Linked DNA regions of Oreochromis niloticus. The protein of the gene in region 4 purifies or fractionates together with the protein of the main gene of each other region. This does not show direct contact. Links are inferred from orthologs where the notes say so. Each region holds a gene or a part of one and is shown on either strand. Other genes may lie near its edges. The genes, in order: clns1a, gsk3ba, pnn and epb41l3b.

Region 1 (7,978 bases), on a different chromosome or scaffold from region 4:
CTCTTATTTTGAAAGTTCAGCTGCTGATAACCATCTATTCTCAGTCCTGCTGCTTCTTCAGTGACATATTTACAAAGAGTAGTGTTTAATTCCACCTGTCCAAACTGCACTGCCATAAACATCAGTTACTCTGCTCAGCAAGGTGTTTCATCTCATTTAAACTTACCAGCCTCTGCAAGCAAACAGTCCGAGTCATCAGTCCGTGAAGGGGAAAGAGAAAAGACAGAAGGAGAAAAATGAAAAGACTTTTACATTCAGACAAAAGAAGTATTTTATCAAATGTTCTTTACAGTAAACTATTTAAACTGGAACTATTTGGTAATCCTTATTTTCTGTCATATATGCAGCTACAATGGTGCGTGCTCAGAGTAAAACAGCCACCATAACAAATCACGAGGTCACCATACTAACAAGTAATCATTATGAGCTTTTAAGCGCTTATTAATGAGGATTGGTTTATAACCTGGATCTGTCTAATCTCAAACATGGGGACATCCATAATGTGGCTAGCCAGACCGTCTCTTTGCAAGACAAAGCTAATCAACAACAATTTCCCTTGTGGGATTAATAAAGTATCCATCCATCCATCCATCAGAAGGAAGCTAAAGGAGTGGAGCTCCTCTGGAGGGTGGAGCTAAAGGAGATAAACGGGAGGAGTTTGTGTCAGACAAAGGAGGATCGAGGATGAACTGGTGCTGTCGGAAGGAGGAATACAGTAAATATGAAATGTGTTTAAAGATAATTCAGTGTCCAAGAATAAAAATTTAGGTTGGAAATGAGCAGAACAGATCAACTTTACAAGAACAGCCATTGGTGATGTAAGAAAATCACTTCAATAGAAATACAATTAGACACAAAGCCAATTCTATTCTGTATTCACAAATACAATAAAATGCTTAAAAAGAAAACTCAGTTTTTTTCTGGAAAGATTTTCTGTTTCTGTTTTGTGTTTCTGAATTAATTTGAGGATTTAGATCACTGTTTGTTGGAATGTGGGGAGCTGTTGTCTTCTTTGTGTCTGCTAAAGACAAATCTGCATCTATGCATTTGAGTTTTGCCTCACCGGCTTCCTCCACGTCGTACTCCTCTCCTTCAAAGTCGTTGTCCGAGTCGTCATCCTCGGGATCGGGGTGAAGCGCCTGGCACTCGCACATGGCTGAGAACATGGACTCCACTGCAAGTAAAGCACACAAAGGTATAAGTGTGATGCTGCGCCATCTCCAACTGTTGTTTATACAGGATGTGCAGCCATGTTGAAATGTCTGCTGCTCATCCCCAGCGAGGTCACTCACATGCCGCTTTGTCGCTGGGAACAAATCGAATCTCTGTGATCGTCCCTTCGTCTTCATCATCGTCACCACCATCACTGCTGCCGTCATGATCATCATCATCATCATCAGCTGCTTTCTCTGCCATTTCTGCCTCGTTCTCTTCTGTAAGGAGAAGTCAGCAGTGACCCAAAAACTCCTTCAGAAACTGTAAAGAAACTATTTGTACAGAACAGGTCAAACACGCTTTAACAACCCCGAAGACTGGACTCCCCCTGCCTAAACAAGTAAAAAGAGATATGAAGTTCAGATGTAAACTTCGCCTCACTGTTGAGTTTGCCGTTGACCATGACGTAGAGGTGTTCCTGTGGGTAAGCGCTGACGTCTCTGGAGATGGCGTGCAGTCCGATGGAGGGATACTCCAGAGAGAAACCCAGGCCTGAGCTGTCAAACCACGACAGGCGCCTGATAAAAGGAAAACAAACTGCTTTAAACAACAGCACTAAACAACTTTTAGATGCTTTTAAATGTCTGTCAGGCTTATTATCTGACTTTTCTGGCAACGACTAATTACGGTCTCAACTGACTATTAATTTATCAAATGATATTTTCAAAAATGTTAAAAAATTCCAACTAAATTACTTTAACGTTGTTTGCTTCTACTTCCTGAAAGTAAAAAAATATGTAATGAGACAGTATGTAATTGTAATGCAACAGCGTGGGTCTGTGAGAAATATAACACAGCTGTAAAATCTGAATTTACGCACACAATGTTTCCTTCCCAGTTTATTGCTGTTTTGCGCTTATCCAAAAATTTTTACTAGCTTAAGAAAAATAAATAAGAAATTAAATTAAGAATTGAATAACTGAAATAATATAACAACACGAAGAAGAAAAAGAACGCAAAGACAATGTAAAAAGGAAAGAAATACAATGATAGCACAGAAACAAATTCCAAAAAAATACAAATAAAAAATACATTTATTTAAAAATAAACATGAAAGAAAGGAAAAAAGAAACCCGCCTTTTAACATTACCGAGAGTCTAAGGTATACAAAAACAGACACAAAATATATCATGTTTACGGAGAGGTACAAGAAAAAAATGTAATATAAATAATAAGTAAACATATTTCTAATACTGGATTCAAAAGAAGACATCCACATTTTGTTCTGCAACGTATTATTTTGAAAGACTGTGCTCCGGAAGTGATTTCAGCGCACGGAGCAGACGTTTATTTTTGTGTCTATAATGTAAACTGGTGTAATTTCCAATAAAGGGCGCGTGAAAGCCCGATAAGAACCTCAATAAACACGAGCCTGAACCCCAGACCCACGAGCCAAAGAGCAAAGCATGCGCCACGTGCACCACTTACGTTTCTGCGACGTAGAGGGTGCCGCAGCCGAGCCGCTGGCCGTCCATCACCGCCGTGGTCTCGGCTTGTTCGTGTCTCACTCCCTCGGTGGGAGGTTGGAGGTTTTTCAGTAACACCATAGTCCTCGGTCCGCTGGGACGGGAAAGAACAGAAACCGGTGAAAACGCGCTGCTGCGTGATAAATTTTGTACTGGCTAAAGATGGCTAATTTCACCCGGGGTAACTTCTCAGTGCTAAATCAGTGTCGGACAGCTGGAGGCGAGAAAACGGCAGCCGTGCTATAACGCTTCGTCCCTTGGATTAGCAGATCCGGGACGGAAATCTTTGAGTGCGAGAACAGGCGTGACAAAAACTGAAAACACTGGAGTTACAAAGTGCTGGTTCAGGGTGACGTCACGCTGAAGTATCGCGACAACACAAAACTCCCAACGAGAATTCACACACTCCAGATTGGCAGTTTGAAAAGCTGCCGCGAGATGGAGCTGCTCCCTAATCTTTTATTCCTAAAGATGTGGAAACATAAATTCTTACATTATTTACAAAAAAAAGAGTAAAAAATAAACATTCTAACAAAGACTGAGCATATAGACAGTACAAACACGATTTTTTAAATAAACAAGCACAAATCAACAAAGTAAAAATAAATGATTATCTGTATAAAAAAAGAAAGGACATATTGAGTAAACACCACTGACTTTATAAGATTTTTTTTCTTTCCTTTTTTCACTTGTTGGTAAAGACATTAACTTAAGGGTTTCCTCACTGGTTACAAATTTGAGTGACTAACTGAGGAGGTTCAGTAACTGATTTAAACACTGCCTTAATAAAAAAAGAATCATTAATATTCAAAATAGTAACTCATTACGTTTGGATTACACTCCAATTACACTGGTCCACATAAGAAGCTGCTTAGCAAATATAATGTGCATTTTACAGCTGATTAGTCATTTGACATCAAAGCTTCAGAGCTCTGAAAGATCTCATTTTCACCAAGATTTGAATCCCAGGATCATCTTCAACCTGAGAGTCAAAACTATTTTATAATATACTGAAATTTTTCATGATTCATTTGTGTGTTCACATTTAACGTTTTTGTTCTGTTGGTATTTTTGTCAATTGAGAGAGTGGAGAACAAAAATATTACAAATAAGTTTGATCCTCATTATATCGGTTTCTTGAAAAATTGTTTGGAAACAGAATAAAGACAGAGTTTGTAAGGACTATAAGGTTTACAAGCACTGAGGCAGTTATGCAATTTTCTAATCTTGCCTCAGAACACACACACACACTGATTACTCATTTGACATCGAAGTTTGGGAGCTCTGATCCGGTTAATTAAATCCTGCAGTGAAATATGGGGATTGTGTGTTTATTAAAATTAAAAATCATCATGGAATCATTGATAGAAGAGCATCAACATTCAGCCTGTTAAATTAGATTTTGATATTTTTATTAATGGCCATAATTGGCCATTTTTGGCTACTTTTGATTTTACTTTTGTATTTCATCACCTTTAAATTGTTTTTACATTTTTTATTCTTGCCTTGCCTTGTTTGGTATCAACCTTTTCAGCACAATCTCACATGTCTGAATTTATTGGCATACTGTATTAACACAACTGATCTGAAATCACACAAAAACATAAAAAATGAGTAGAAAAAGGCTGTCATTGTTTTTGGTTTTGTAATGTAAAAACCACAAACATATCTACAGAATTATTTTCACAGCTTGAAATGCAAAAATGAATTGTAAATTTAAAAAAAAACAAAAAAAAACCTAGGCACAAATGTTATAAACAATAAAGTTCATACAACTATTTACCTAAAAATGTTGTCAATGCCTCAGGTGTTTTTTGAACAACCACTTGAAAAACTACTAAAATTAAAATGAGAGAACAAAGGAGCTGTAATCTGATGGAAAAATATAAATTATATTTAGAGATGAAACAGAAGTCTGAACAAGTAACACTGAAGCAAACAGTAAATGAAACATGAAAGTTGTACAAATATCAGATTTTACCTTCACATCTGCTTTTGAGCTTAGAGTATGAGGACGTTTTTATCAATGGTTGCCTTTTTCCATTTATTTATTTAATTAATAATTTACTTTAATTAATAATTGGTTTAAATTAAAATGAAAGAATGTTTTCCAGGAATACTTTTAGTGCAGTGAAAAATGTCTGAAAAGTCAAGCTGACTGTAAAGTTTGGTCTATTTGACATTTTCAGTTTTTGTGAAGAAAGCGCCACCTCTTGGTGCCACTCTGTAACTGAATGAAAGGGGAGTGTAGAAAGCCCAAACACCCCAGGAGGAGGAACGGCCAACAGGTGGAAACTGGCTGGCAGTTCGCTGGTAGCTATCTGGGGGTGGTCATTCTATGTGGGCGTACCTGTACACTGAGATGCACAGACGACTGGGGTAGTGTACAGGAACATCTGTGTCACATGTCGATTACAAGTCCTCAACTCCAGCTGTGCTTCACTGTTGGAGGTGGTAGAGAACAACTGGACTTAGATCCTGTGGGACACACATCAGCCTCCCAGGGGTGTGAGGGGAAGATAAATGTGATATCCAGTTTGTTGTTTCTCATCTCTCTCCTCAAACCAGGAGAGAACTAATCAGATTAACAATCGCTTTAGAGTAACAACTTCTTTAAGGTCCTGAACCCAGATCGGTGACATCATGGAGCCATGATCCTTGGTGTTCTTGCTCTGGCGAGGATAAGAAAGGACAAAAGTGATGTTAAATCCATTGGCACAAGCCACACGTTAGTCTTATTTCGGTATCAGTGAACCTCTGAATGTTTTGCTGTTTGCCACTGTGTCAAAAACACCTTAGCAGTGTATATAAATGCACGTGGCTGTTATGATGTTATTGCTGGTGTGTGAAGCGACCAGTGCAGTGGGTGTAATGGTTCTCTTAGCCTGAACTGTTTTTGGTGACTGTAGAAATTGGAGCTCCTTAAGAAAACATCCAAACCCCTCACAGAGTTCTGACCAGGTTTGATCCCAGGATCCTCTTACTGTGAGACCACAGAGCTACCCACTAAGGACAATAACACCTAGACCCTAATGATTTACATAGCACTTACGAATTGGAGAAAATGTTTAAATTATGAAAAAAATTAGATTTCTTGAGTTTTTCTGAGTTTGAGAGAGTACAAAGATTAGTGTGACAGTTTCAATGAGACTATCTGGAACAAGTTAAAAACATTTCCTTCTAAATTCTCAGTATTCACTTATCAGCATTCAGTGTGTCAGATGTAATCTTTTACTGTTCATGTGACTTTCTGAGAATGTATGAAAAGTGATTGGCTCTCCCGCAATGTTCTTGTTTTGAACACCCACAGCAGGACTGAGGCCACGATTACAGTTCCACCTCAACTTTTATCCTAAAATCAGTCAGGCTCGTGCTTCACTGTAAATGTTTTTCACTGATTGATGTTGGTGATATTATGTGATCGACAGTGCATTTTATTTTCATGTCCTTCATCCTTCTTTTATCTGCATGATTTACACTAACTTATCAGTGCACATTAAAGAAAAGCAGGACGACATTCCTTAAAACCTTTCGTTTGATCATTTCTCAAAAATAAGATGAAATGAACAAAGTCAGACTGACATTTCCCTCTGAAACAATCACCATATTAATAAATGATATAACAGCTCTGTAACATGTTTCACTCTACATCAGAGACATGTTAAAGCGTGTTGGCTGCATATTAACTCAAAATCCTGATTATTTGCTTGAAAATAAAGTTTGGGAGCTCTGATCCAGTTTATTAAATCCTGCACTGAAATATGAGGATTGTGTGTTTATTAAAATTAAAAATCATCATGGAGTCATTGACAGAAGAGCATCAACATTCAGCCTGTTAAATTAGATTTTGATATTTTTATTTCAGAAATGATTCCTAACAAAAATGGAGAATATAAAAACACAGTGAAAGCAGTAAAGTCCATATTATGAAGTGTTTGCTGTATCAGACAATCATGTTTCCAGTCTGCTGCATCACAACAATTTGAAATGCAAATATAAATGATTCACAACAATGAAAACAATATAGTGCAGATAAACATGGTGCTGTAATGAATCTGCTCTTAAACACAATAACAAAATACATTTTCCAAGAGAGATGATAATGATTCACATCAGAGTGAAGAACGAATACATTTACAACTGGTTTCTAACATTTATTATAGATCGAACTGATCACTGATAGAAACAGAAGAATATTCACAATGATACTCTGAGAGATACATGAATGACATATGGATAAAAAACAAATCACATGAAACAAAAAAGCACATAATCATTCTAGGTGAAATAAAAATGAGTACAAAAAAATAAGAATTAAGTCGAAAAATTAAAAAGGCAAAATGTTTAAAATATATAATCAGATAAGAGAGCGAGCTGTCCAGTCAGGTCACAGATTCATATCTACAATAATACTTTTGTTTGTTTTTGTTTTTGTTTTTGTTTCATCAATCCTAGGTCCCTGTATTAATATTAACACTATTATGATTACTTATAATAATAATGTTGTTATCATTATTACCATTATAAATGCTGATAAGCATATTAAGTGTGTGTCTGAGCTGAAAGCCGCTCTCCTCTCCTGGTTTTCTGTATCACACAGACCACAACAACACAAAGCATCACCTGCAGACCGCTGAGCAGTATCCACCTGACTCTGTAGAAGGTCGAGTAAACCCCAAAGGGCTCTCTGTGGATCAGAACTGTTTTTTCTGCTGACACACACTCAATCTCTGACTCTAAAACTGTACACCAATACTCTCCTGCATCTTCCAGTGAGACATTAGACATTATCAGGCTGTCGTTGGAAAGAAGGATTCTGATTTGATTTTCAATAATCTCAGTAAATTCAATGATTTTACCTTCTCTTTTTATCGATTTCATAAACCACCAGGGCTTCATACCCAGTTTTCTTTCAGTAGTACATGTGAGATTGACATCATCTCCCTCTGAGAAGACCTCTACTGCAGGTGGACCAAATTTGGGGCACACCAAAAGTTTATACCATTGTTTTATGGTTTGACCTCCACAGGTGTACCAACCTGAATCATTTAACATTAGCAATGGAAGCACCAGCGAGTAGTTTTGACCGACTTCTTCATAAGTCTTCGAGCCCATTTCCCACTTCCTCCAAACCGGGTGTGGGTCATGAATGAAGGGACACTGCAGCACAGCTGTGTCTCCCACTGAGCCATGGACTATCTTTGCTGCTTTGGTCAAACGTACTGAGTGAGTGCTCACACACTGCTGTTGGTTCATCACCAGGCAGATGTACAATGTTTGTAATGTGTTGAAGACAT
Region 2 (7,435 bases), on a different chromosome or scaffold from region 4:
GCTTCTACACAGGCTCTGAGGTTCCTGGCTGTGCAAGAGCAAGAGACACATGTGCGCTCCAAAGTCCAGAAGATATTACTGTGGATGATAACTGTATCCCACATCACAACAGTGACCTTGAAGAGGGAAAGGAGGAGGAGGACGGAAAAGTGCATGAAGTAATGAGAACATGTCAGAGGTGTGTTTCAAGGCTCCCGAGATGTTCGGTCTTGCATTGTGAAGAACAAAACCGTAAAGCTCCAGAGGATGTGGGAGCAGGCGGTGATAACGAGCAGCACCGTAGACACATTCGAGACTCCTGTGGGTATTCGGACTCAGACTCCAGCAGCTCAACAGATTACTGCTACTACCACCGTCCTTACTGTGACTCCTGCCTGCAGCGAGGCTCCCTCCTGTACTCAGACAGCTCCTCAGACTCCTCTGACAGCGAGTATGATGACTACTTGAGCCTCTACCGCTCCCCACGCCCTGTGGTATTCAAAGAAGACCTCAAACCCACCTTCGTATGAACACGTTTACTGCACTTTACACATTTATCCAGTTCCACAACTTGAATGAATATCCTCAGAAAGGTTGCTAAAACTGATGTATTTCTGTGATGGAGGGACATTTGACAGTAGCTTACAGTATAGGAACTTTACATTCCAGAGATTGGTGTTTTTCTGTGTTGCACCATGGGTCACAGTGACTGATTTATAAGACTAAAACTTTTGTAGCTTAAAAACACATGATGCTGTTTACTTTTATAGTTCCTTGTGGCATTATTTGTATTATTTGGATTACTATTTCTACTGTCTGATGAAAACCTTTGACACTTACAGTACTGTGCAAAAGCCTTGAGTTACTCATTTATTTATATTTAGTTTCTTTTAATTCTTTAAGTGGTTCTGAAGGACATTCGCTTTTGGACATTGGCTGCTTTTTCATTCATTTTTACACGAGTCCTTGGGCCTCACCATTTCCAGAGGAATGTTCTTTTTCTGTGTTTGTTTTTTGTTAATCTTTTTAACACTTACCTTTGAATAATTCAAACATAAAAAGTGTTTGATGACAATGATAACAGACAACTTATCAAAAAAAATATTTTAAATTGTATGTTTAGGCACTTTGTTACTAGCAGCCGTTCCAAAATGCACAATTTGTTTCCACTTCTTTAATCCATAAAAAAAATGCCAAAGATAACACATTTTGACAGATATAAAACAGTTTTTGCACCAACAAATTGATTCTCAAAGTGCTATCAGCCCAAGATATTTCTTATGAATCATAGTTTAAGTTTTCCTCAACATATATGTGGGAGATCAGGAGAGAGGTGCAACAGTGAGTGCCTACAGAATGATAAATGCAGAAAAGTACCATCAGCCTTTGATCCACTATATAATACCACCTGGAAGCTTTTGATTGGCAATGACTTCATTTTTCGATGATCCCGAACATACTGCCAAAGCAGTACAAACATAGCTGGATAGAAATGCACACAATGCAACACTATCGGTCAAGGATTGGTCTCCCCAGAGCCCAGACATCAACATTACTGAAGCAATGAGAGATCATCTAAACAGAGAATGAACAAGAAAACTCCAAAGAAGAGTTACTTTTGTCCTTCAAGAAGCCTGGAGAACTATTACTGAAGACTACTTAAAGAAATTACAAGAAAGCTTGCCTAAGAGAGTCCAGCATGTGTTAAAGAATAAAGGCCGTCGTACTTGTACAAACTATGTTTCTTTCCTTATATACTGTATTTCTATTTATGTTTGCACCTATTTCATTTTTTCCCAGCAAAATATTATGAACTGAAAAAATCAGGACTTTTGCACAGAACTGTAGACAGGTGCTTTATTAGTCAACTCATATAAGTTCTCAAAATATACTGACAGAAGAGACACAATAGTGAAAAATGACATAAACAGATGCAACATAAAAGGTTTTCACAGAACAAATGTGCGCTCTATTATCAATTGTGCAATTCTGTATTTATTTCTGTATTTATTTGTTGATGTTTTGGTGCCCAAAATTACTTTATGTTTCTTTTATTATAAACATTCCTTAAAATGTTGTTATGCTCCTTTGCTGAATCTGAGTTTGAATTTACAATGTGCATTCTGTGAATGTGAGTGCTGACGTGATGTTAAATACTAAACCTCACCTTTATATGATTTCCATGTTAAATGCAACATTTTCCCTGAGTTAAAACATTTGCCAGGCTCTACATCACTTTAATCTCCACCATGATTTCATGATTTCACCACATTTTCATGGATTTTCCCGAAACACAGACAAAAGCCTTTTCTCCCTTTTATCTTTCATGTCTCTTTTATGACTTGCCCTTCACTTCCACTCCCTTCTGCTATCTACTCTCTGTCTTTCTCGTATTTTATCCCTCCACTAATGGGGAAATGTGTGTTTGCCGGGGGAGGTGTTGCTATGAAGGCAAAACAGTGTCTTGTGTTACTTCTGCTCAGCTGCCTGCTTTTAAGATGCTGCCGCTCTCTGTTCTGCATATGAACCATTGAAGGCCAGCCTGGGAGAAACTCCCTTTGATACGGAGAATAAAACACACACAGACACACATACACATACACACACCCCTGCATAAAAGATACACTAGCAACTGTATCACTGTGAACAGGGAAAGACTTTCCTGCCCTTTCTGCATTCTGCATATAATATATTTTATTGCCATTTCAGGAAATGCAGCACACATATAATTAGAGTTCAGTACAGTTAGTGACACTCACATGCATTTGCAGAAAAGAACAAGATACACCTTCAGCGATTTTACATCACCAGACAAACATAAACTGCACCATTTCCAACCTTTTTGGTAGTTTGTTAACAATAACTGCTTTATAGATCAGTAATAAATTACAGTTCTAGATTATTTTAAATCTTTTTGACTCAGTGATACAACATTCATTTATTAACACCTCATTCTTCTTCTTTGATCCTTTAGGGGTCGCCACGGTGGATCATCTGCCTCATTCTCACGCTATCCCTATATCCTCCTCCTCACACCAGCCCTCTGCATGTCCTCTGTCACCACAGCCATGAACCTTCTCTGTGATCTTCCTCTTTTTCCTCCAGCCTCGCAGCTCCATCTTTAAAATATATCTATTATCCCTCCTCTGCAAGTGCTCTCATCCTTGTCTCTCTAACTTTGTCTCCAAACCTACCATCAGCTATCATCTTGTAAACCTTCCCTTTCACTCATGCTGCTTTTGTCACAAATCACCCCTGACACTCGTCTCCACCCAGTCCACCCTGCCTGCACTCTCTTCTTCACCTCTCTTGTGCACTGTCCGTTGCTTTGGATTTTTGACCCAGTGTAGTTAAACTAATCCACCTTCACTATCTCTGCTCCTTGCAGCTTCACTATTATTAATGAAAATCGTTCATACATTATGTCAGTTGACAATACAGCCCTCTCAAGGGTAAGAGGAAAGAGAACAGAGAAAGAAGATCATGGAGAGACAAGGACAAAACACAATGGCAGAGAGAAGAAAAAAGTTAATGCCATGCTGTAGTGGTATGTAAATGCAGCTGTAGCATAAAGCGATAAGAGGAGAAGAAATGCTCATTGCATCTTAGCAAGTCCCCCAGCAATATTGCATCATAATCAAGACATGGTTCGGGGTCACCTGATCTAGCCCTACCTATAAGCTTAATAGAAAAAGGGAGAGTTTTAAGCCTAATCTTAAGAGTAAAGAAGGTATCTGCCTCCTCAAACTGGGAGCTGATTCCACAGAGGAGATTGCAAGCTGAAGGTTTTACCTGTTATTCTCCTTTTAGAAACTATATACATCAAAATATCACCAAAAATTAAGTGAAAAAAAACATCAGTCAAAGGAATCTTCAGAGCCAACTGATCCATTAGGTACGACGCCATATTTATTAAATAAATAATAGCAAAAGCTTTGTTTGTCTGGCATCTTACAAACACACAAAAGAGACAGCAGTTTAAATGTGAAATCAGGAGGTACGATGCCAAACATGCAAGATAAGGTTACAATAGAAGGGTGAGACGCGTGCACGCGCACATTATTACATTACTAAGCAGGATGACACTAATTAAAAGGATGTGCCCGAGGGCCGCGTGAGGTAAAAAGTGTTGGGGAGCGATAAAGAAGAGGCTTTTGTATCTAACATAGCAACAGTGCTGCATGACCACCGGTGCTCCGTGTCCGTGACAGCTGGGTCCATTTGAACTGACAGCCCGGCTTCGGCTCTCCATTGGTGGAAGAAGTCATCCATCCCGGGAGCGGGCCCGCCCCTTGTCCCCGACGCGGCACAGGAAAAAAGCCTTTGAAGTCGCGAGGGCGGTGCCGAGCAAATTATGCCATGTGGTGCTCGAGAGCGGCGTTTTTATTGGACGGCGGGAAAATGGTCACCGCCCGTTTTTGAAGGATTCCCTCTCTGATTGGCTCAATCGGCCACCCCAGATTCGCCGTGCGCGCGTTCACAGTTTTCCTATTCTCCCTCGCGAGTTACGTCAGCAGCGTGAACGTCTTTCCGTGACGCCGGAGCGATCCCTCGAACAATTTGCGGAAACGGCGTACCTACCATGCGCAGCGACAAAGACTGCGAGCCTGAAACCTATGGGGAAGGAATAAAAAAAGAAATTCCGTATCGTTGGACTCTGTGCTGAAAGACCAGTATTTTCTGAGGAGCTCACCGGCCTGGGGTCTCGGCAAAGACACCGAAATTTAACCGAGGCAAGGCTGGATTTAGAGTCGGCGTACGGCTAGTGAATTTGCTGAAGAAGACTGTAGCAGCTGGCAGATTTTCCGTTGGACCGTCTGTAGGCTAGGGTATAGCGAGGGAGCCGCCATGGCAGTCGGATCATTGAGCCTCCACATCGGGATATGAAGTGGAACTGCATGTGTTCCGAATCGTTAAGAAAACGCCGCATTTGTCACCGATCCGCACCGGATCAGCATCTGAACTAACCCTTCTTCATCTCCGTGAAAACGATTCCGCACCCCGAAAGAAATTACCGCTGGTTTTTAACCGTGGGGCCACAGGGAGAGGCCAGATTCATGACTATTTTAGTCGGATACGTGTCTTCAAAGGCCCGCTGAAAGAAAACCTGGAGCATAAGGAGGAAACGATGCTCTGATCGACCGTCGGTGGAAAAGAAAAGGGTCATTTAGTGGCGATACAAAGTAGTGTGAAGGATCCTGGGATAAGGGGATCTCTTTCTAGCTGACCTCCCTGAGAATTACAGTGATATTAATTTACTGTCACCCCCCCAACCCCCCTTTTTTGGATTTTTTTTTATTATTATTTTTTATTTTTGATGAGAAGGTTCGGCGAATCGATCAGCTCCGCCGTTTAAGCAAGTCACAGTCGAGAGAATCAAAGGGATCGTCGGATCATGTCGGGTCGGCCCAGGACCACATCCTTCGCAGAGAGCTGCAAGCCAGTGCCGCAGCCTTCAGCTTTCGGCAGCATGAAAGTCAGCAGTAAGTACTCCCGTGTAATTCTAGAGTGGCAGACTTTTCCTGCACGCACCAGGCCCACTGTGGGCTGCATATGCTCGCTTAAGTGTCCTCTCACTAACTAGGCTGGAAATGTGTCAAGTTAGCATACGGTTAGCTCCGGGAAGCTTATCTCTGTCATATATGTGTGTCACAGAGCGAGACTGGAGGCTGCTGAGCGGCACACACTGCTGCTCGCCCCGGTGTGGGCACACAGCGTTACGCGCTCTGTCGCGCCGCCCCGGGCCGGTCAGCCGGAGCAGGGTTAGCAGGCCGCGCCGGGAAGGGCCGGGCCGGGCCATAGGAAGGTAGTGTTGGCACAGGCCCAGGTCAAAACCAAGCCTCCTTCTTCCACCGCAGATCCGGCCTGATTATTGTCCATTTGAATGTAGACTAGATCGCGTAGAGATATTGCCACACAGCACCAATCACATGCGTAATGGAGTTAAAGCGATAGGTCCGGTCTATTACGCAACCGTCAGAGCGGAAGGTGCGCCCGTAGTTGAGTCGGGCGAAACTGACGCGATCCTAAGGGGGGTGGTTTATTAGCCCTGTTTCCACTACTTCCACGGGCCGTGTCGCGACGACCGGAGGGAGTGTGACATCGAGTATCCTGTTCATGAAGCCACGGTGGCACGGTGCCGGAGACCGCTTATAGACTGGCTGCAGAGAGGAAGCCATGCGACTGACTAGGCCTGTCAGCTGAGCAAGTGGCGGGGTGGGGGGCTGGCAATGTTGGTGCTAGACGCCTCTCTTTCGTCTAGTCTATCCATCACCACAACGATCTCAAGGCAAGGCGCACTCGCTCCCATTCGCTCTGTCTATATGCTGAAGATACTACTGCTGTACTGGTTATATTTAATGGCCCAGTTAGAGCTCACTCAGATGAAATAACATCAAATTAACACTAAAAGTCGTTTCATTGAAATTAATTTAGAAGTATGGCATCCTTACTATTAATGAGTATCGACTGTCGTAGATGGACACGTGCACATTTCCTAGTTACACCCCTGTCTTATCTGACACACAGATGGGTGTGGGTGGGGTGGAGTGGGGTTTGGGGGCACGTACCTGTTAAGGAATGCTGACGGAGCCTTAAGGGCTGTGATGTGAGCATGATGTATGTCAGTCGGGTGAGGCCTGAGGCTCAGGCTCATGTCTGGGCCTTGGTGTTGGAAACCGATTAGTGCACTGTGACACACACACTCCAAACCCAAGTCTAATTCTTGTCTTGCCCCAGATGCATGTATAGGTCAGGTCTGCTAAATGTGAGAATTAATTTTTTCAGACAAAAGTTTTGGATCCTCAACTTGATTTCTTTTTCTCTCATAGAGACTCATCTGGTGACTCAGTACGTTATTATCAACTAAAATAATAAGCTGAACCTCTAGTTGCTCAATTAAATAGGTGTTTGATAATCTGATGTCTAACAGCAGGTGGTGTTCATCTCCATGGAGGAAAGTAGAGTGGCTGATTGCTCAGATGTCCCCTATTGTAAAATTTCAGTCTGTGAAGCATTTCATGGAACCAACCCTTCCCAAAGTAATTTCCACCAAAGTAAGCAGCTCTGGCAGCTTCAGGGCCTTCTGTACATCGCAGATTCTGGGCGTGGACATTAGTAAAACATTGGTGAAAATGGTGGGTTATATTCATTTAGACTTTTATAAACGGGAAGGAAACCAGCAATTGTAAAGGTCAGTGGATATATATGCAGAGGGCCTCTTAGCAACACATTGTTGGTAGCAGCATCCAAGCACCCAAACAGAACATTATTAAGTTCCCAATCTTTAACGATCAAGGATGATAGCAAATCTTCATTGTCGATTGTGCTTAATCACTGAGTTTTATTTTTTCTTGTAACAAGCAGCTACATATAATTTACATTTCTTTTTAGTTATTGTTTTAATCTAAGGTAGGATCTGCCACACAGAAGTATGTGGTACGCAGTTTCAGTTGTA
Region 3 (7,441 bases), on a different chromosome or scaffold from region 4:
AGCCAAACCTCCTAATTAGCCAGGCAGGCAGGCCTGCTGCCCAGTCCAGCAATACAACTATGCAAGAGGAATGCATATAATCCACACTCACCCTCTTTTTCTTTTTTCTTTTCCTCCTATTTTTATATTTGGTTTTTCTCACTGTCATACAATAGAAGCGAAGATGTAAACTAATAAGAACTTGCAATGACAATACTTGGCCTTATGATGATTTCTGAAATCTTATCGTTTAGTTTTAAGATCTTTTTGATTCTGGTCAGCCAGCCCAGCGACAGCAGCGGTGACGGCGGGCTCACTCTTGGTCTCTGTGAGACTGGCTAGATGGCCCCAGTTTTATCGTGGTACGAATGTTGTGCATTTGTTTAAAATCAGGACAGTTTGCAATAACAGCAGTCTTACTAGTGGCCACAAAGGGGGCACAAGCAGTGCTGACGGCGCCCGGCTGCATCTTTAGAAAAACCATAGAGGAAGAAATATAAACTATATAGATATCTAAACTCACACAGTGCATATTTGTATAGGTATCAACACTGCATTACCGTGGTATACTCTTATGCAACACATGTCCGGGTTCAATTTATGAACATGAAGTATACTCTGAAGTCACGCAGACTTTGTAAATCAGAAGCTCTGTTGTTGTGTGTTTTTTGCAGAAATGGTTTTACCATCGTTAATGTTGAATATTCTGAGCGTAACGTTCCTGTGCGACTGTGTCGGTTAACGTGAGCACATAGCACCAGGTTATTACCTCCTTTCTGTAAGCAGGGAACCAGACTGAACCCAGAACACAGCTGGACAGACTTCAGGTACCACAGAGCATATTTCAGAAACAAAAACTTCCAAATCTGTTCTGCACAGAGCTTTAAAAGCGAGTCAGTGCTGTAACTCACCTGAGCTATGTCAAACAGACCAAGGTGTGATTAAAAGAATGGCTTGTGGATTTTTAAGACCAAGCAAAACCGAGTTTTACCCTCAATGTCTATAAGAAAAGGCACATAAAAGTGATATTTGAACTCATCCCAGCTGTTTTTTGGATTAGTCTGCAGGGAAAGAGTCCTCTGGAAGTAAGAGGACAGATTTTATCATTGAACAGTGTTGATCCATGGCTCTGTGGTGAAGAAAAGGGAGGACATGTTATAAACCTCCATGTAAAACCTCTGACCTGACAGATGGCATACACTTGAGGGGTCAACCTGACGAATGTTGATTTGAATTATTGTGGAATGAATGCTTCTCTTCTTTTAGTCAGTGAATAAAAACAATAAAATGTCACTTGCTTCGTTTGTCTTTTTTTTTTTTTTTTTTCTTTTTTTTTTTTTCCTTAAATCCATTTAAAAACTGGCATTGGAAAGAAGTCGTCTGTCGTTCTGCAATCTCCAATCATCAAACCAAACCAGACCATTATTGTGCATGAATGTCAAGTAGACCCAAAACTAACTCGGTCACAATTAGTCTGCAGGGACATTACATGACCCACTGGTTTCCCGTGTGTCTTTAAGTAGCCTATTGTGTCTTTTTCACACCTCCACACCCGTTAGTGCAAAAAAACAATAACTGCTCCTCATGACCTTTGGGTTGTTTTTTTTTTTTTGTTGTTGTTGTTGTTTGTTTTTTTTGAATGGGTTCAACTCACCAAATTTTAAATGACATTTCTCAGTTATTAACCATTTCCACGCCTACAATGGACATAAGCATTAGAAAAGATTCCTGAGATGATGAAAAAGACGACTTGGTCTTGCCTTTTCTTTTAAGGTCACCCATTTAATGCAATAATCAAAGCTGTTAACCCACCTCAATGGTTTTGTTATCTATCTGATGTGGCTCAGTCGAGTGGGTAAGTGAGAAAGTGCCACTGAAGAATTTGATGAAATAATCAAATGTAAAGAAAATGTTAAACTGCCCCACCCACCCCCACCAGAAAATTCCTCATCTTTACTTGTTAAGTCCCTCCCCACCGAACAACGATATTACACAATGTTATTTTGCCATTTCTTTGTTTACTCAGAGGAAGTCCCTGCAGCGCACCACGGGGACTTCCTTTGAGTAAACAGCATAAAGCACTTGCAAATGGATCTATGGAAGCCCAGAGATGTAAAACATAAGACAAGAAAAACGTGTCTCTCCTTTTTAGCTCTTCTGCAAAATCCTGCTCCAAAAAATATTTCACAGGTTAAAATATTCCCCTGTGATGATTTCAATATCCTTCTGCTCCTGCTCTCCTGCTTCCACATTACTGATTTCACACCAGCCTGTCACCACAGACTTGCTTTTTATCTGCTCAAAAATGTCTTCCAACAATAATTTTAATCATAGTTTGAAGACGCCAATGTCAGAAATGAAACGGGCAAGAAAATGCCCCTCATGTCAGTATACACTCACCTACCACTTCATTAGGTACACCTCTTTAAACACAACTATCTTACCTGAACGTAATTCAACCCATTTGGATACGTAGACATGGTCAAAACAACGTGCTGAACTTCAAACCGAGATTCAGAATGTAGAAGAAAGGTGATATACGTGGTTTTACAACCCACGCATGCACAAGAGCCTCTCTGAAGGCACAGCACATTAAACCTTGAAGCATATGAACTACAGCAGGAGAAGACCACATCAAGCGGCCCTACTGTAAGCTAAGAAAGTGGAGCCATAATTCAGTTTTAGTAATATGTTGGAATAAATGTTTTATGGGTTGCCTTTCCCAACTGTAATGTACTATTATGCATCACAAATTGCTAAAAAGCAGTCTGCTAACAGTAAAGTTAATTAAAAAGCTTTTTAATTAATGGACAGGAATAACTGTTTTGCACTAATGCTGCAGGTCTCAGACAAAGAGCTCGTTCTCATCTGGATAATGAGACAAGGAGATTATCATTGTGGCATTTCACAATTAAGCTGAAACAACAACACATTTTTTTCCCAACCAACAGTCAGAGGAGTGGGTTTTAGAAGGCTGGGTTCTCTGTTGTGTAATTAAATGCATGATGACATCAGTGTTATTGGACTGGTAGTAGAATGATATGAAAGAATCATCAGCAGAATTGTAGCGCACACTGTTAAAAGCCAGGAAATCAGCTGTGGTTTGATGCTTGGTTTCCACTTTGATATGCAAGAGCTGCAACAGCGGGACTCAGAAGGGTTTTATTTTCAATCCGGGGCTCGCAGCTCGGAGCCGGCTTCCTCAGTTACTGATAGAGATCAAAAGAGGCAGGCAGGCACCCTGAATCTGGCTGTCAGGAGAAGAAAGAGTGTCTGTACTCAGGAGGAGTGAAATAAAAGAACACTTTCTTCATTCCTGTCCTTAATCCAGTCTCGAGAGTATCGTCTGTATCTTTTAAACCTCTCATGAAGCTTTAGTAAAAACAGATACAAATCAGATGTTTTAAGTCTAAATTTATTCTGCTGATGCTAACTTGAGAAGTAAATCCTCTTGCTCTATGCAAATTGTGATACATTTCTTCTGGTTTAATTCCTTTGTGACTTCTGAGGATTCACAGATATTTTGTGCCTTCTTACAACATTTCACATATAGCACTTTTCACCACCTGGAAAGGGTCTTAATTTATTGTCTTCTACAGAAGTAAGAGGCTATAACACTGAACCATGTGTCTTCTTATGAAATTAGATAATACGCTTTTCATTTAGTTGACTCTCAGAGAAGATATAGGTGCACTGTTGGCTGAAATAGCACACACTGTGATATGTGATCAGTCCTGCAGTGGTGAATAATCCGCTGCTTCTTGCCTTCAGTTGCTTCCTTGTACTTTAGTGTGTGTGTTGTACTGTTCTGTCAACATTTTTACTTTGAATTTAGTTTGATCAACTTTAAAGACCCTTCTAAGGCTGGGAAAATTAATTTTATTTCAGATACACGCAAACACACCTTTCACCCCCGATTTTAGAACCAATACATACACGTTAGTAAGCATTATCCATCCCTGACCAGAGGGTGGCGGTGATGCGTTGATAAAGAGACAGGATGCAAAGGAAGAAGAGTCTAGAAGTAGAAGAAGAGGACGAACACGTGATTCGCGCTAACTGGAAGCAAGATGGCGGTGGCAGTGCGGAGTTTGCAAGACCAGCTAGAAAAAGCCAAGGAAAGTTTGAAGCATGTGGACGATAATATTCGTAAACTGACCGGACGTGATCCTAATGAATCAAGGTAAAAAGCTTAACTGGTTATTTAGTTTTTTAGCGAGTTCCTGGAGTGAAGCTGAAGAGCTGTACTCAGTCGACGTGTGCTAAGTTAGCGTGGGTCGGCTAACCTGCAAACAGCACCGCCTCCTTGTTTTGTGTCGCACATATAATGTTTTTACCATCTTAATTTATTCGCATCAAACGAATAAAAATTAACCAAATTGGTAACTTCTTAAAATATTGAATTGGAACATTAAATCTGGTAGATGAACAGAGTCGAGGCCCTGCAGGAGGCGTCGTCCGGGCGGCACATCACTTTGTCTTGCTTAATAATAAAACGGTTCTGCAGCAACACAAACGCATAATGTTAAAGTGAGTCTTATTTGTCAGACTGTATTCTTTCTTTTGTGTTAACCTCGGTGTCCCCTGTGCTTGCAGGCCGGGTCAGATCCGTCGGCTTGGCGGCCCCATGGCAGGCCCTGGAGGAGGAGGTAGAGGCAGAGGAATAAACCTGCTCAGGTAAATCTTTGCGCTCCCCATCTCGGAAAAAAAGAGCTTTAGATTTTCAACTTTAGTGGGTGATCTGAAAAGTATATACAACAGTACCCCCCCCCCCCCCCCCCCCCCCCTTCCCCAATCACACATCTTCCACAATCTATTCAATGTGAGACTTGGCGTCACGTCACTTCTTAAATAAGCCTTGTTGTGAAGGTTTGAACTGGGTTGTTGCTGGTTACAGAATGCAAGGCGTAGTTTATGACCATTTGCACAATAGCGCACTTATAATCATATTGATTTCATCAGTTAGACGTTAAAAGGGGGAATTGTTGTGCTTTTTTTCATATTAATAGCCACGGGGAAGTTAATTATCAGAAGCAGAAACTATGTAACTTTCACTAAGTAAGTAGCTTGGTTTACAAAGTGTAATGGACTGAGAAGCTGCCCCATTTTGTGTTATAATTTGCTTTGGGGTTTGTTTGGTTTTTTTTGTGAACCATCCACATCTACTATAGCCAAGAACAAAAACATGGAGTTGAGGATAAATGTTAATCACATTTGTCTGATGTTTTTATGATTCAGTCTGTAAAGGAAGCACTGTTGAAACACATTTTCTGTTTCAGTTAAATGTTCAAAGAGGGTTTGAAAATGGTTGTTTTTTGTCTTGATGCATGCTCAATCATCCAAGTAATTAAATCCCAGGAAGTTGATTGTTCATCAGGGCGTTGTTTTTAGTGGGCAAAACTTTTGGCTGCTCATTCAAGTGACTTAATATGCAAAGTGCTATGACCACTTAAGGACAATGAAACTGACCTCACGACCCATTGTTGGTCCTTAACGGTAGTTTCGGTCATTATGCAAATAAACTGTTTAAAAGGTTGGGGAAACCTAGGGTCAGCTCAGTCTGAGCTCAGTCACTTGGATGAGTGAAGCATTTCTGACTGAAAACAACACGTCCAGATGAACGGAATCAGCTTTCTTGGAGTTTCTTTGCGTCTCTCCAAAAAAAGGTAGAATAAATTATTTAAACCGCAAAAAATTCAGTCTGTGCATCTCTAAAGTTTTCCTCTTTGTCCTTTCTCAGACGCAGTCTCTCAGACATGGGAAGCGGCGGCCCTCCTGCCAAGCAAAGGGACATCGAAGGAGCCCTGCTAAGGTGAGATCTCGACTTGAAATATAATATAGTGATTGGGTAGTTTCTAGTTTTGGAGCTTGTGTAACACATTTTACCTGAAACCCTTCATTAATATTAAGATTATTTAACAAGTATAAGAAAATATGTTTCTTGTTGGGGGGGGGTGTTATGTAGACTAAAACAAGTTTTCTAGAGTAAATTGTATCAGACTGAAAGTACAACAGCATTTCTGCACATGTAAGGCATTAATTGAATGAATTCTCAGCTTTCTGTACTTTTTTTTTTTTTTTTTTTTTTTTTTTCCCTCCTTGTCTTGATTTCAAAGTACCATCTCTTATGAGTATTTGATCTTTGTGTGGCTGCAGGCTGGCAGGGGACCAGAGGGCCAGGAGGGACATGCGTCACGACAGCGACGCTGAGGATGACGATGATGTCAAAAAGGTAATTTTGTCAAAAATACTTGATCAGTATTTGCTGCCTCACAGTGGGTTTTTTTTTTTTTTTCTGCTTTGAAGTGATAAAAATCCTAACAATTTGCTTCTTGTCCTTCCTTCAGCCGGCGTTGCAGTCGTCTGTAGTAGCTACCTCCAAAGAGAGAACGCGCCGAGATCTCATTCAGGACCAAACCATGGATGAGAGGGGCAAACAGAGGTAGCTCTTAAACTCTAGATTTACATTCAGATTTGATTACTAAATAGTCTGAGCCATGATCAGTTTAATTTCATCTGGCAAATGGCAAAACGTGTCTACAGCTGAGAATTAAGTGTGTGATGGTGGTGTTTGTATTGTCTTGGTCAGGAATCGGCGCATGTTCGGCCTGCTCATGGGGACCCTACAGAAATTCAAGCAGGAGTCAAATGTCTCTTCAGAAAAGGTGAGGAATAGATTCATCTTTTGCTTGGTTATGAGAGCAGTATTTTTGAAAATATAGGTTTCTGTGTTGATGAGGTCATAAATTCCATGATTTTTTTCTTGTTCTGCTTCATATTTCTGTTTGTCATCCTGCAGCAAAAGCGACGTTCTGAGATTGAGCAGAAGCTCGAGGTTCAGGCTGAGGCTGAGAGAAAGAAGGTGGAGAATGAAAAGAGGGAGCTGTTTGAAGAGAGGAGAGCCAAGCAGACAGAGCTGAGACTTCTGGAGCAGAAAGTGGAATTGGCTCAATTGGTAAGACAGTGTATTTGTTTGAAAGTGGGACTAGCATGAAAGTGGCTGAGTTTTGTTTATTTTTAATGAAACTGGACTTACTGATTCGGCCAAACTAAAATGTCTATTTCATTTATCACTGTTTAATTTTCACACCAAATTGTAACTTGATAAACATCTAATTTAATACTTAGTCTTTTAAAGCCTATTTTTGTAGCTAGAATGATGGGAAATGTAAAATCAATTTGAGAAAAAGGTGAAATTGATTTTTTTTTTTTTTTTTTTTTCCTCCATCCAAAGCAAGAGGAGTGGACCAGCCACAATAATCGCCTGGTGAAATACATTCGCACAAAGACCAAGCCTCATATCTTCTACCTGCCTGGAAAAATGTGCTCCGCAACACAAAAACTCCTCGATGAATCCACCAAGAAACTAAATGGTCAGTGGGACTTTTATTTCTGGAGTGCACTGACAGTGTTGTGGCGGTGTTATATACTCACAGGGGGTCTGTCTACTAAATAACATGAG
Region 4 (8,547 bases):
GCATTGCGTAATCGTAAAAACCCCAAACAAATTTAAACATCCTACATGGCTGTGTTGCTGTGTAAACACATGGCTAATAGCTCATATTTGCCTTTGTGATGTGGCGTGCGTGTGTGGATGCAGTCCTGTTGAAGCACAGCTGCACTGGTTGATGACGAAATGGATTTGGGTGGAAAGCAGGAAGGGAGAGTGTTTTATGGGAGAGATTGGTGGAAGAAATGAGAGGCAGAGGAAGAGAATGAGAGCAAGAAAAACAGAGTGAGGTGGAGAGAACATGCCTGCTGGCCTCCTGTCTGGACACATTACATTTTCATAGGCTGATATCGCACCGGCACAGCTGAATATAGATAACAAGCACTTCTTGTTCTACGCTGTCAACTTGGGTTTTTGTCTGTCTTTTGCTTACGTCTTCAGGTTTGTAGATCCAGCAGCAGCAGATGTATACTATCTTTTATTTAGACTCCTTCTGATGACTAATATTTGCCTCTGCCTTTAGTCGGATTAGTGCAAAGAAGCAGGCTAAATAAACCTGTTGCGTAATCTGAGATTCAGGGCTGGATTAAATCACTGGTAGACCACGAAAATTAGCCATGGGCTTCCTTTAGGTCCTCCTTGGACAGATTTTGTTGCTAATATCTTACTAGTATTCCTCCTCTGATATCTTTTTACGCCTTAAAGAAATTCTTGACCAGAATTTGATGAAAAAAAAAAATCATGTCTGTACAGCAGATACACAGCTTGAGCAAAAGATCTGAAACAGGCAACTTATTGTATCCAGTAGTAATGAAATCCCTCTGCCAGGTTTTCTAAAGCTCACCAAAGAATGAACTTCTCACCATGCTTTACACCTTTCTTCTAAACTAACCTTCACATGTTAGCATTTACATTTTTTTTTAAAAGTGAAACTAGATAAATGCTAAGACTCTTATCATTTGAATTTACTGGGATCTGACTTGTGTATTGCAGTATGCAGTAAACATGCTCTCTCCTCAGGCTTATCTTCTCTCTCTTTTGTTTTGTGTTCTCACAGACTGAGTGACAAGCCTGTGGTCTAGTCGCCACCATGATAGCCACGGGTGGCCTGCTGCGCATGAACAGGCGCCAGGATTCGCTCCGATCCAAAAACCGAGCAGAGAACAAACGGAAGCGGAAATCCAAGAAAAAGAAGAAGAACGATGTGGTGGTGGTGAAGGGGAAACTCAATCTCTGCTCCCCGGCTGGTTTGGTGGCCGCTGTTGGAATTATAGTTCTTATGGTTGGGATTTCCATGGCTGTACTGGGCTACTGGCCCAGCCAGAACCAGCAGGAATACCAGGAGCGCCGCAGAACCGGGGGATTCCACACCAGCAGGATGAGCTATTCCAAAAGTCCTCAGATTTCCTCCAACCTGACCCGTGGTGAGCCTTCCTCTGGCCAATCAAATCTGTTCAACCAGAGTCATTCTAACACCAGTGTTTCTAGCCCGTCCCGTCACTGTGGCTTTTTCTGTGACTTCCTGGATAATTATTTGTATTCAGACAACCTGAAAGTCTTCGGACCACTTGTGATGGGAATTGGTATCTTTCTCTTCATTTGTGCTAACGCCGTCCTCCATGAAAACCGCGACAAGAAAACTAAAATCATAAACCTGAGGGATATCTACTCCACAGTGATAGATCTGCACAGTATACGATCAAAGGAGTACTCACCTCTGAACGGCATGGTGAATTACACCCAGTCAAAGAGTGCAGAAGGGCCATCGGGTTCATTTCCAACAAGTGGGATGCTTACTCGCAGTTCCTGGCCCTCCACTGGAATCACTTTCAAAGGTGAGGTAGATGGCGAGGAGGTATTCAGACGCTCCTCATTGGTCAGTAGGCCTCGTAGCTTGTCCAAAGATGTGCAGACCTTCACAGAGACTGTCTACAGCATCTATAAAGACTACAGCAATAGCAGTGAGCAGGCACCTCAGCCCCGACAGTGGGAAACCACTTCCATCGTCACCTCTTCTGTGAACGCTTTTACCCTGCCAGTAATCAAACTGAACAACTGTGAGGTGGGGGAGAAAGCAGAGGCAGAGGGATGCTCAAAGGAGGAGGTTGTTATAGAAGCTGCTGCTGAAAACATAAGTGAGGAGGGACAAGCCAGCAGCAGCAGCAGCCAGAGAGATGTGATGTACGGTAAGCAGAAGGAGGCTTCGATCATGGACTCTCCTCCTCCTCACCGGAGCCACGAGGACACCGACACAGGTATCCAACAGGGGGTGCCGCAGTCTCAGCCTCAACCGCAGAGGCCTCAGCTGTTTCCACCGTCTCCTGTTGCCAGGGCGATGGGGTCACGGCTGTCGCTCAACTCTCTCACGGATCAGCCCAGGCCAGCACGCCGCTGCAGCCTGTCTGTGTCTGGATGTCGTCAAGGTGACAGAGCCAGGCGGTTCAGCTACCCCCGTCTGGAGCACTCCAACAGCAAGGGCTACATAAAACTGAATGACCTGGGGGGCGAATCCTTTGAAGCCCCCGACGCAGACACTTCTTTGGTGGCCCCTAAACAGGAAGTAGCAATGGATGCAGCAGCAGCGGAGGAAGAAGCTCAGGGACAGGACAATTTGGCGACACCGAGCACCTCTGGAGAATCCTAGGCCTCTTAAAACTCTTTGATGTCTTGTTATTTGCTTCGCACCCTCTTACGTGATTGCTAATGGGTGAAGCTGGCCATTAGAGAGGAAAGGAAACACGGAGAGTAAGCAACTAAGGACTATTGAAACATAGCCATGAATACTCAAGAGCAAGACTCTTTATAAATACACCAGACCAACAGTTCAAAATTCAGATGTAATTTTTCTATTTTTTCAATGTAGCAAGAGCAATACTAAAGACTTGTAAGGAGATTTAGAAATGGTTTGTAAAAAAAAAAAAAAAAAAGAAATTTGATCAGATGAGGTTTTTTTTTCTTTTGTATAAGAGTAAGGCAAACATTGTAGCTTGTAGAATTGCCAAAACTTTCACTCTGAACTACTGTCCAACATGTCGTACTGTAGCATTAACATATGCCACAGATATTTAAATAGTCTAGATTTGCTTCTCTGCATTGTTATGTGAATACCACGTGAATAGGTGAACTGAACTGAATCTCAGGTAGATGTCTGGCTTAGGATCGGGACCTTGAGGACAAGGTCTTCCCTATGTGCACACACTTGTTTATATGAAGCATTCATGGTTTAATAAATTTGACTGTAACACCTCCATTGGGTCTAATAGATGTCTTTGTGTGATATTAGATTAAATGCCACGAATGCAAAATGGCTTGTTTGCTCCAAATAGTTTCACTTGCATTAAGAAAAATTAAAAGGATTAAAAAACTGGAAGTCGGACTATGATTGATTGTGTGGCAAACGTGGAGACTGTATGGATTTTTTTCCCCTGGACTTTAGCCGTACTTCTCATTACTGGGAAACACTGCAGTGGTATTGATGTTTTATTATCTCTGCCAGCTGAACCGAGACCAGTGACCTATAAGTGACCTTTACAACAGTCTTCTTAATAATTGTCTTCACTATTACAAAGGGAAGTTAACAGCTGAGTGAGTATCTGCTCAAATGGGCGACAAATTAAACGGGGGAAAATAAACTGGGCGTTTATTGATAATAGTGAAGACTGTCATAACTGTCAGTCCCCAATAACTCACCTGGTTGAGCAGGTGACCCGGAGGTCAAAGGCTGCTGCATAGGGGCCTGAGCACAAGTCTAGATCAGATAGTTTCCTGTGTGTCATTTCCGCACGACCTCTCCTACTGTATTGTCAAATAAGGTCTCAAAATGCTAAAAAAAAATCTCTTAAAAAATCATGTTCAACTGAGATCTGGCAGATAGATGCTAATCATTCAACAATCCCTTGTATGCAGGCAAGTGCATTTATTACTGTTTCTCCATTTACTCAAACAGATTTTTCCATAAAGGTACAACTTGTATGATTAGCACAAAAAAACCCAAACAAGTAGTATTCAGTTATCCTAAGTGCATCAATACTCCTGTTTTGTGGCAATTTATACATAGAGTTTATCATATGTCTACATGACTTCATCATAATATGCTACTGTACTATTGTACTTTTTAACCTCACTGCAGTTATAGTTACACCTTTAAGCTGTGCACATAAAATACAATAGTCTTACTCTATAGCCAGCCTTATATTTTTTAATATAATTACTTATGTGAGATAAATGCATGCCTTGTACTGCTGTAAATGCATATTGCACCACTGCCACCTCACTGTATATACAGTGCTGCACAAAATTATTGAGCCAGGCCCTTTTCTTTACATTTTGCTTCTAAAATACTTTCTTGTATTTTTTAAGAGATCTTGAGCAACAGTTCTCCAGGCTTTATGAAGGTCGTTCATAAAAGTGCCATCAGATTTTGAATCTACCATGCAATACCATCTGACAAGTGTCCGATTAGCAACGGCTTTGTTTTTTGTTTTTTCAGCATGATGATGATCCCAAACACACTGCCAGTGCAGTAAAAGCACGAGTGAACACTATCAGTCATGCATTGGCCTCCCCAAAGCCCGGACCTCAACATTACTGAAGCAGTGTGGGATCAAATGTCAACCAACAGTCCTTCAACAAGCCTGGAGAACAATTCCTTAAGTATACTTACAGAAACAGACAGTTCAGAGTTCAGGCTGTGTTGAAGAGTAAAGGTAGCTATAGCAAAATGTTGACTTTCAAGCTCATTTGAAGTACACAGACTCTGTTTTTGCCTTATGCACATTTCTATGTATGCTTCCATCCGTTTCAATAAATTCCTGTGACTATTCTTATTTTCTTAGTTAAATAAAAAGAAATAAGGGGTACTTCACGACTGTTTCACAGCACTCATCTTCCAAGTCCTGCATATTGTTAACAGTTCCTACAGGATCAGACAAAAAGTCCACTTTGAAGTTTGCAGACTATTCACGAGAGTAGCCAGCGGAGCTCAGCCTAACGTGGCCATCTAGTGGTCATGTGATGTTTGAAAAAACAGAAGAAGAAGAAGAAGTACAAAAATAAAAGCGACCAGCAGGTGGCACTGGGTCTATGCTGGTTGAGTCGTGGGCGTGCCCGTTTAAGAGCACTACGGGGCCGATTTCTTTTTAGAGGCAGGAGGGGGCGGGGTCAGCTCGCTCCGTCTCTGGGAAGGTTTGCCAAATTTGGCGCTCACAGGTGTGTGATCCCTTTCACCCGGACGAGACCCACGCAGGGGATTCCTGGTCTTCGTAGCGCTCCCTGACCAACAGCTGGCGTTTGGGGAGTTTGTGTCCCCTCGCTGAACACTCAGGTAAAGTGCTCGCTTGTGTTTACACTGTTGTTTAGTTTGTGTGTCGAAAAACAGGCTGTCACTATATGAGCATGAGCAAACTTAAGTCGGGGTTTTCTGTTTGTAATTAGGGCAGCTTTAGGATGTTATATGTGGTTGTTAATATTTCTAAAGGGTTATTCTCGTCGTGTGACATATCTTAGTAATGTTCTGTTTCATTTTTCATGTCTTTTTTCCGTTGCATTCACCGGGCTTTCCACCACAACGTGACCTGCTGCTTTCCCGGCGATCTGTTACATTTCAAACGGTGAGTACGAATGTTTATGGGCAACAATGTGAAACACACAAAGAGACAAGCACAGGGAATAATTTGGAGTTAGAACAGAATACATTTCAAGCGGCAGCCTCTTCACACTTTATACTGCAGAGTAAAGGGCCAAACAGACGCGATCAATACTTTACCTCGCTTTATTTTGAAAATCTAACGTGACGGAGCGTTGAGAAACTTCGTGTAACAGCTGTTTAAAAGTGAAAACAAGTCAGATCCATTTCTTCCCGATACAAATACAAAGCCCTCGATAAATCTAAGTTCTGTGTGACACTTTTGACTCAAGTCTTTTACAATCTGCTGAATGCGTCTATAATCTCCTCATCAGCATTTTTTCTCAGGCTATTTCTTAACTCGTTTCTTCTCATAACTGCTGAGGAAGCACTACTTGTTTTCTTTGACACGCACACACACACACGCACACACACACACCTGATTAAATGTTTGCTGGGCACAGACAGGCTATTCGGAAAGGGGAAGTTGTCACAGCATGTGTTTCCTCTCCTTGAAATAGAGATGTGAATGAATCAAAGAAGGAAGACGTTTCTGTTATAATAGTCTCTTTCATGTGCACTAAAATGAACATTCATCTCATGGCATTGTTAATAGGGAGGTCCATATGGCTGCAATGAATTTTTATTTGATATTTAATCTTTTCGATATGTATGTATTTTAATATGGGACAGTGCATTTTATAGTGCCATCTGACCATTTGCGCTTGAGTAATTTCACCAGTTTTATGAAGTCAAATGATGAGGTTGAATGTACAGGACTGAGGAGATAACACCGGCCAAAGTCCGTGGGACTTGTCTTGTTCATTTGCTTGTGTGTGCAGTCTTTGATGTTTCTGCGGATGATTGGTAGCATTTTGCTGAGGCTTAACATTTCTTGTACCCCATGAGCTGGCTTGGACTGACCAAAATGTTCTCACTCTCTGTCATACCAGAGGAAGTAGAGTTATGTAATTTTGTCTCTTTCACTGATGTGTTAGAGTTGTCGTTAAGGACAACTTGGACCGCAAAGAATGGTTGGGTTTTTTTTATAGTTTTGTTTTTTTAACCCTTCTAATAAAAACACATTTTAGCTGATTTTTTTTTAACCCATTAACTGATATGAATTCTTTTCTTTCATTATTATTATGATTATGATTATTATTATTGTACTTCAGTAGTATATATTTTGTTGTTTTGGTTGCTTGGGGTCAAGTTAGCATATTGTTTGTTTGTTTTTGGGTTTGTTTTTTTTTTTACTTATTAGCTAACAGTTGTTTTACATACCCAGCAGTTACAGTGGATCATTTACGCTGGTGTTACATTTTCTGTGTACACAAATATGTGAGCTTCTGAGTAACATAAAATTTGCCATCAGCCAACCAGCAAGTTTGTCGTGACTGCGTGGAGATGTTCGTTTTCTTGTTATGCATCACCAAAGAATTGGAGAGTATAAGGCCTGTTCGACTCCTTTCAGCACTGTTTTTGGTCTCTACCAACTGCTGGATGAAATGGCTGTCTTTATATCCAGCTGCAGATGGTGCCCAAGCAAAGCTACTTTAACGCTAACATTCCTTTCAGGATAAGTAAACAGTTTGCATTCTGCAAAGGCAAATAAAGCCTCAGCGAGCTTTGGGTGATAAAACTCCTTCAATCATTTGCTAAAAGCATCTCTCTCACTGCTGCATTGTTATTTCATACATTCCTATGATGATAATAATACAGCCAGTTTAAATATTCAAAGCAGGTAAAATAAGTAATATTTATGAAAAGTTTAATCCACAAAATCTCTGGTAATTTGCTTCTTCACCGGGAATTTGTAAGTTTGTGTTGACCACTACTTTGAAAAGATCACCATCTAGAAAAATCCAGACATGTCCACCTTTTGAAACAGCTGATCTTTTCTAACTTTGGCAAAAAATGTGCATAATCATGCCAAACCTAATAAAACTATTAGGAGAGGAAAGTTTTCAGGACACGTTTAAAGGATGAATTCCACTTAAGGCAAGGCATTAACTCCAAACAAGAGTTTTCCGGCATGCTCTTCCTCCAGCTCTTTCTGGAAAAGGTACACTGTAAATTGAAAATGGCAAGCTGCACTTACAGATTAGCCAGTAAAACATTGTCTTAGCTGCAGTGATTTATGTGACACAGCTGGAACATGGAAAAGGCTATTTAAATGTTTTTGGGTGTCCATGTTGCTTGTTGATTTTTTTTTCCAAGTTGGACCAGTGGAACATGGGAAGGTTGTAATTACAGGCAAGCAGCTGGGAAATTCCAAATTCTGACAAAAACTCCAACGCTGTATTTTTTTTTTTTTTCAAGCATGCATAGTTCACGAGATATTAAGTCTGAGGATAGGGGGATGTTATAATGGAGTAGTCCTTTAGAGTTCCCCATGTTGCACGTATAGCCTTTTGAGAATCAAAGGATTTTCTATAAGTTGTATTAAATTTTATTTTGTTTTTTTTACTTTGTTAGCTGCCTCTACACTATATACAGGCAAAACCAGATAAAATCTCTTCGTTGTGGCTTAAAAAGAATCATTCATGTCACACATCTAAGGCTTTAAGAGCTACACAAAGACAGATTTCCTACTGTTGTTTTGATGTAATGTTGCTGCTGATAAATCCTACCTCTGCCTATTCATCTTAGGAATTTACATCAATGCTGCTGTCAGTTTAGTACATGATCAATAGCACTAGGTTTGGACTGCAGGAGAATATATTATTTTTGCTGCTCTTTGTTGCTGTGACTCATTGTGCTGCTGTATGAAAACCTGTGGAAGGGCTAAGTGTGTGACTCAGAAGTAAGAGGTTAAAGGTTAAAAGGAACAGTCAGCAAACCCTTGTTGTTATGACGATTCATAGATAAGTAAGGCAAAGGTTGGAGTATTGTCTGTGCACTTTAATTGGAATGAAATGGTTAAACCAGCAGAGTTATTACATTAAAGC

Evidence for each region.
Region 1: the proteins of epb41l3b (region 4) and clns1a purify together in Homo sapiens (affinity purification with mass spectrometry; 3 studies listed by BioGRID and IntAct, with this or other methods). This does not show direct contact. The link is inferred for Oreochromis niloticus from reciprocal best matches to the Homo sapiens genes EPB41L3 and CLNS1A.
Region 2: the proteins of epb41l3b (region 4) and gsk3ba purify together in Homo sapiens (affinity purification with mass spectrometry; 4 studies listed by BioGRID and IntAct, with this or other methods). This does not show direct contact. The link is inferred for Oreochromis niloticus from reciprocal best matches to the Homo sapiens genes EPB41L3 and GSK3B.
Region 3: the proteins of epb41l3b (region 4) and pnn purify together in Homo sapiens (co-immunoprecipitation; 3 studies listed by BioGRID and IntAct, with this or other methods). This does not show direct contact. The link is inferred for Oreochromis niloticus from reciprocal best matches to the Homo sapiens genes EPB41L3 and PNN.

The regions. Positions count from the first base shown.
Region 1 is NC_031979.2:35,680,577-35,688,554, forward strand, and holds the start of clns1a (methylosome subunit pICln), read right to left. Parts: upstream 3,055-7,978; 5' UTR 2,763-3,054; coding exon 2,644-2,762; intron 1,734-2,643; coding exon 1,597-1,733; intron 1,434-1,596; coding exon 1,293-1,433; intron 1,175-1,292; coding exon 1,064-1,174; intron 173-1,063; coding exon 167-172; intron 1-166. UniProt on the Homo sapiens protein: Involved in both the assembly of spliceosomal snRNPs and the methylation of Sm proteins.
Region 2 is NC_031987.2:19,718,811-19,726,245, forward strand, and holds the start of gsk3ba (glycogen synthase kinase-3 beta), read left to right. Parts: upstream 1-4,357; 5' UTR 4,358-5,374; coding exon 5,375-5,462; intron 5,463-7,435. Other genes in the region: gpr156 (probable G-protein coupled receptor 156), read left to right, coding at 1-509. UniProt on the Homo sapiens protein: Constitutively active protein kinase that acts as a negative regulator in the hormonal control of glucose homeostasis, Wnt signaling and regulation of transcription factors and microtubules, by phosphorylating and inactivating glycogen synthase (GYS1 or GYS2), EIF2B, CTNNB1/beta-catenin, APC, AXIN1, DPYSL2/CRMP2, JUN, NFATC1/NFATC, MAPT/TAU and MACF1.
Region 3 is NC_031983.2:25,169,267-25,176,707, reverse strand, and holds the start of pnn (pinin), read left to right. Parts: upstream 1-4,004; 5' UTR 4,005-4,049; coding exon 4,050-4,162; intron 4,163-4,575; coding exon 4,576-4,656; intron 4,657-5,719; coding exon 5,720-5,791; intron 5,792-6,135; coding exon 6,136-6,211; intron 6,212-6,326; coding exon 6,327-6,421; intron 6,422-6,568; coding exon 6,569-6,644; intron 6,645-6,778; coding exon 6,779-6,934; intron 6,935-7,213; coding exon 7,214-7,352; intron 7,353-7,441. UniProt on the Homo sapiens protein: Transcriptional activator binding to the E-box 1 core sequence of the E-cadherin promoter gene; the core-binding sequence is 5'CAGGTG-3'. Capable of reversing CTBP1-mediated transcription repression.
Region 4 is NC_031982.2:24,529,075-24,537,621, forward strand, and holds the start of epb41l3b (band 4.1-like protein 3b), read left to right. Parts: upstream 1-5,334; 5' UTR 5,335-5,582; intron 5,583-8,547. Other genes in the region: tmem200cb (transmembrane protein 200C), read left to right, coding at 1,064-2,617. UniProt on the Homo sapiens protein: Tumor suppressor that inhibits cell proliferation and promotes apoptosis. Modulates the activity of protein arginine N-methyltransferases, including PRMT3 and PRMT5.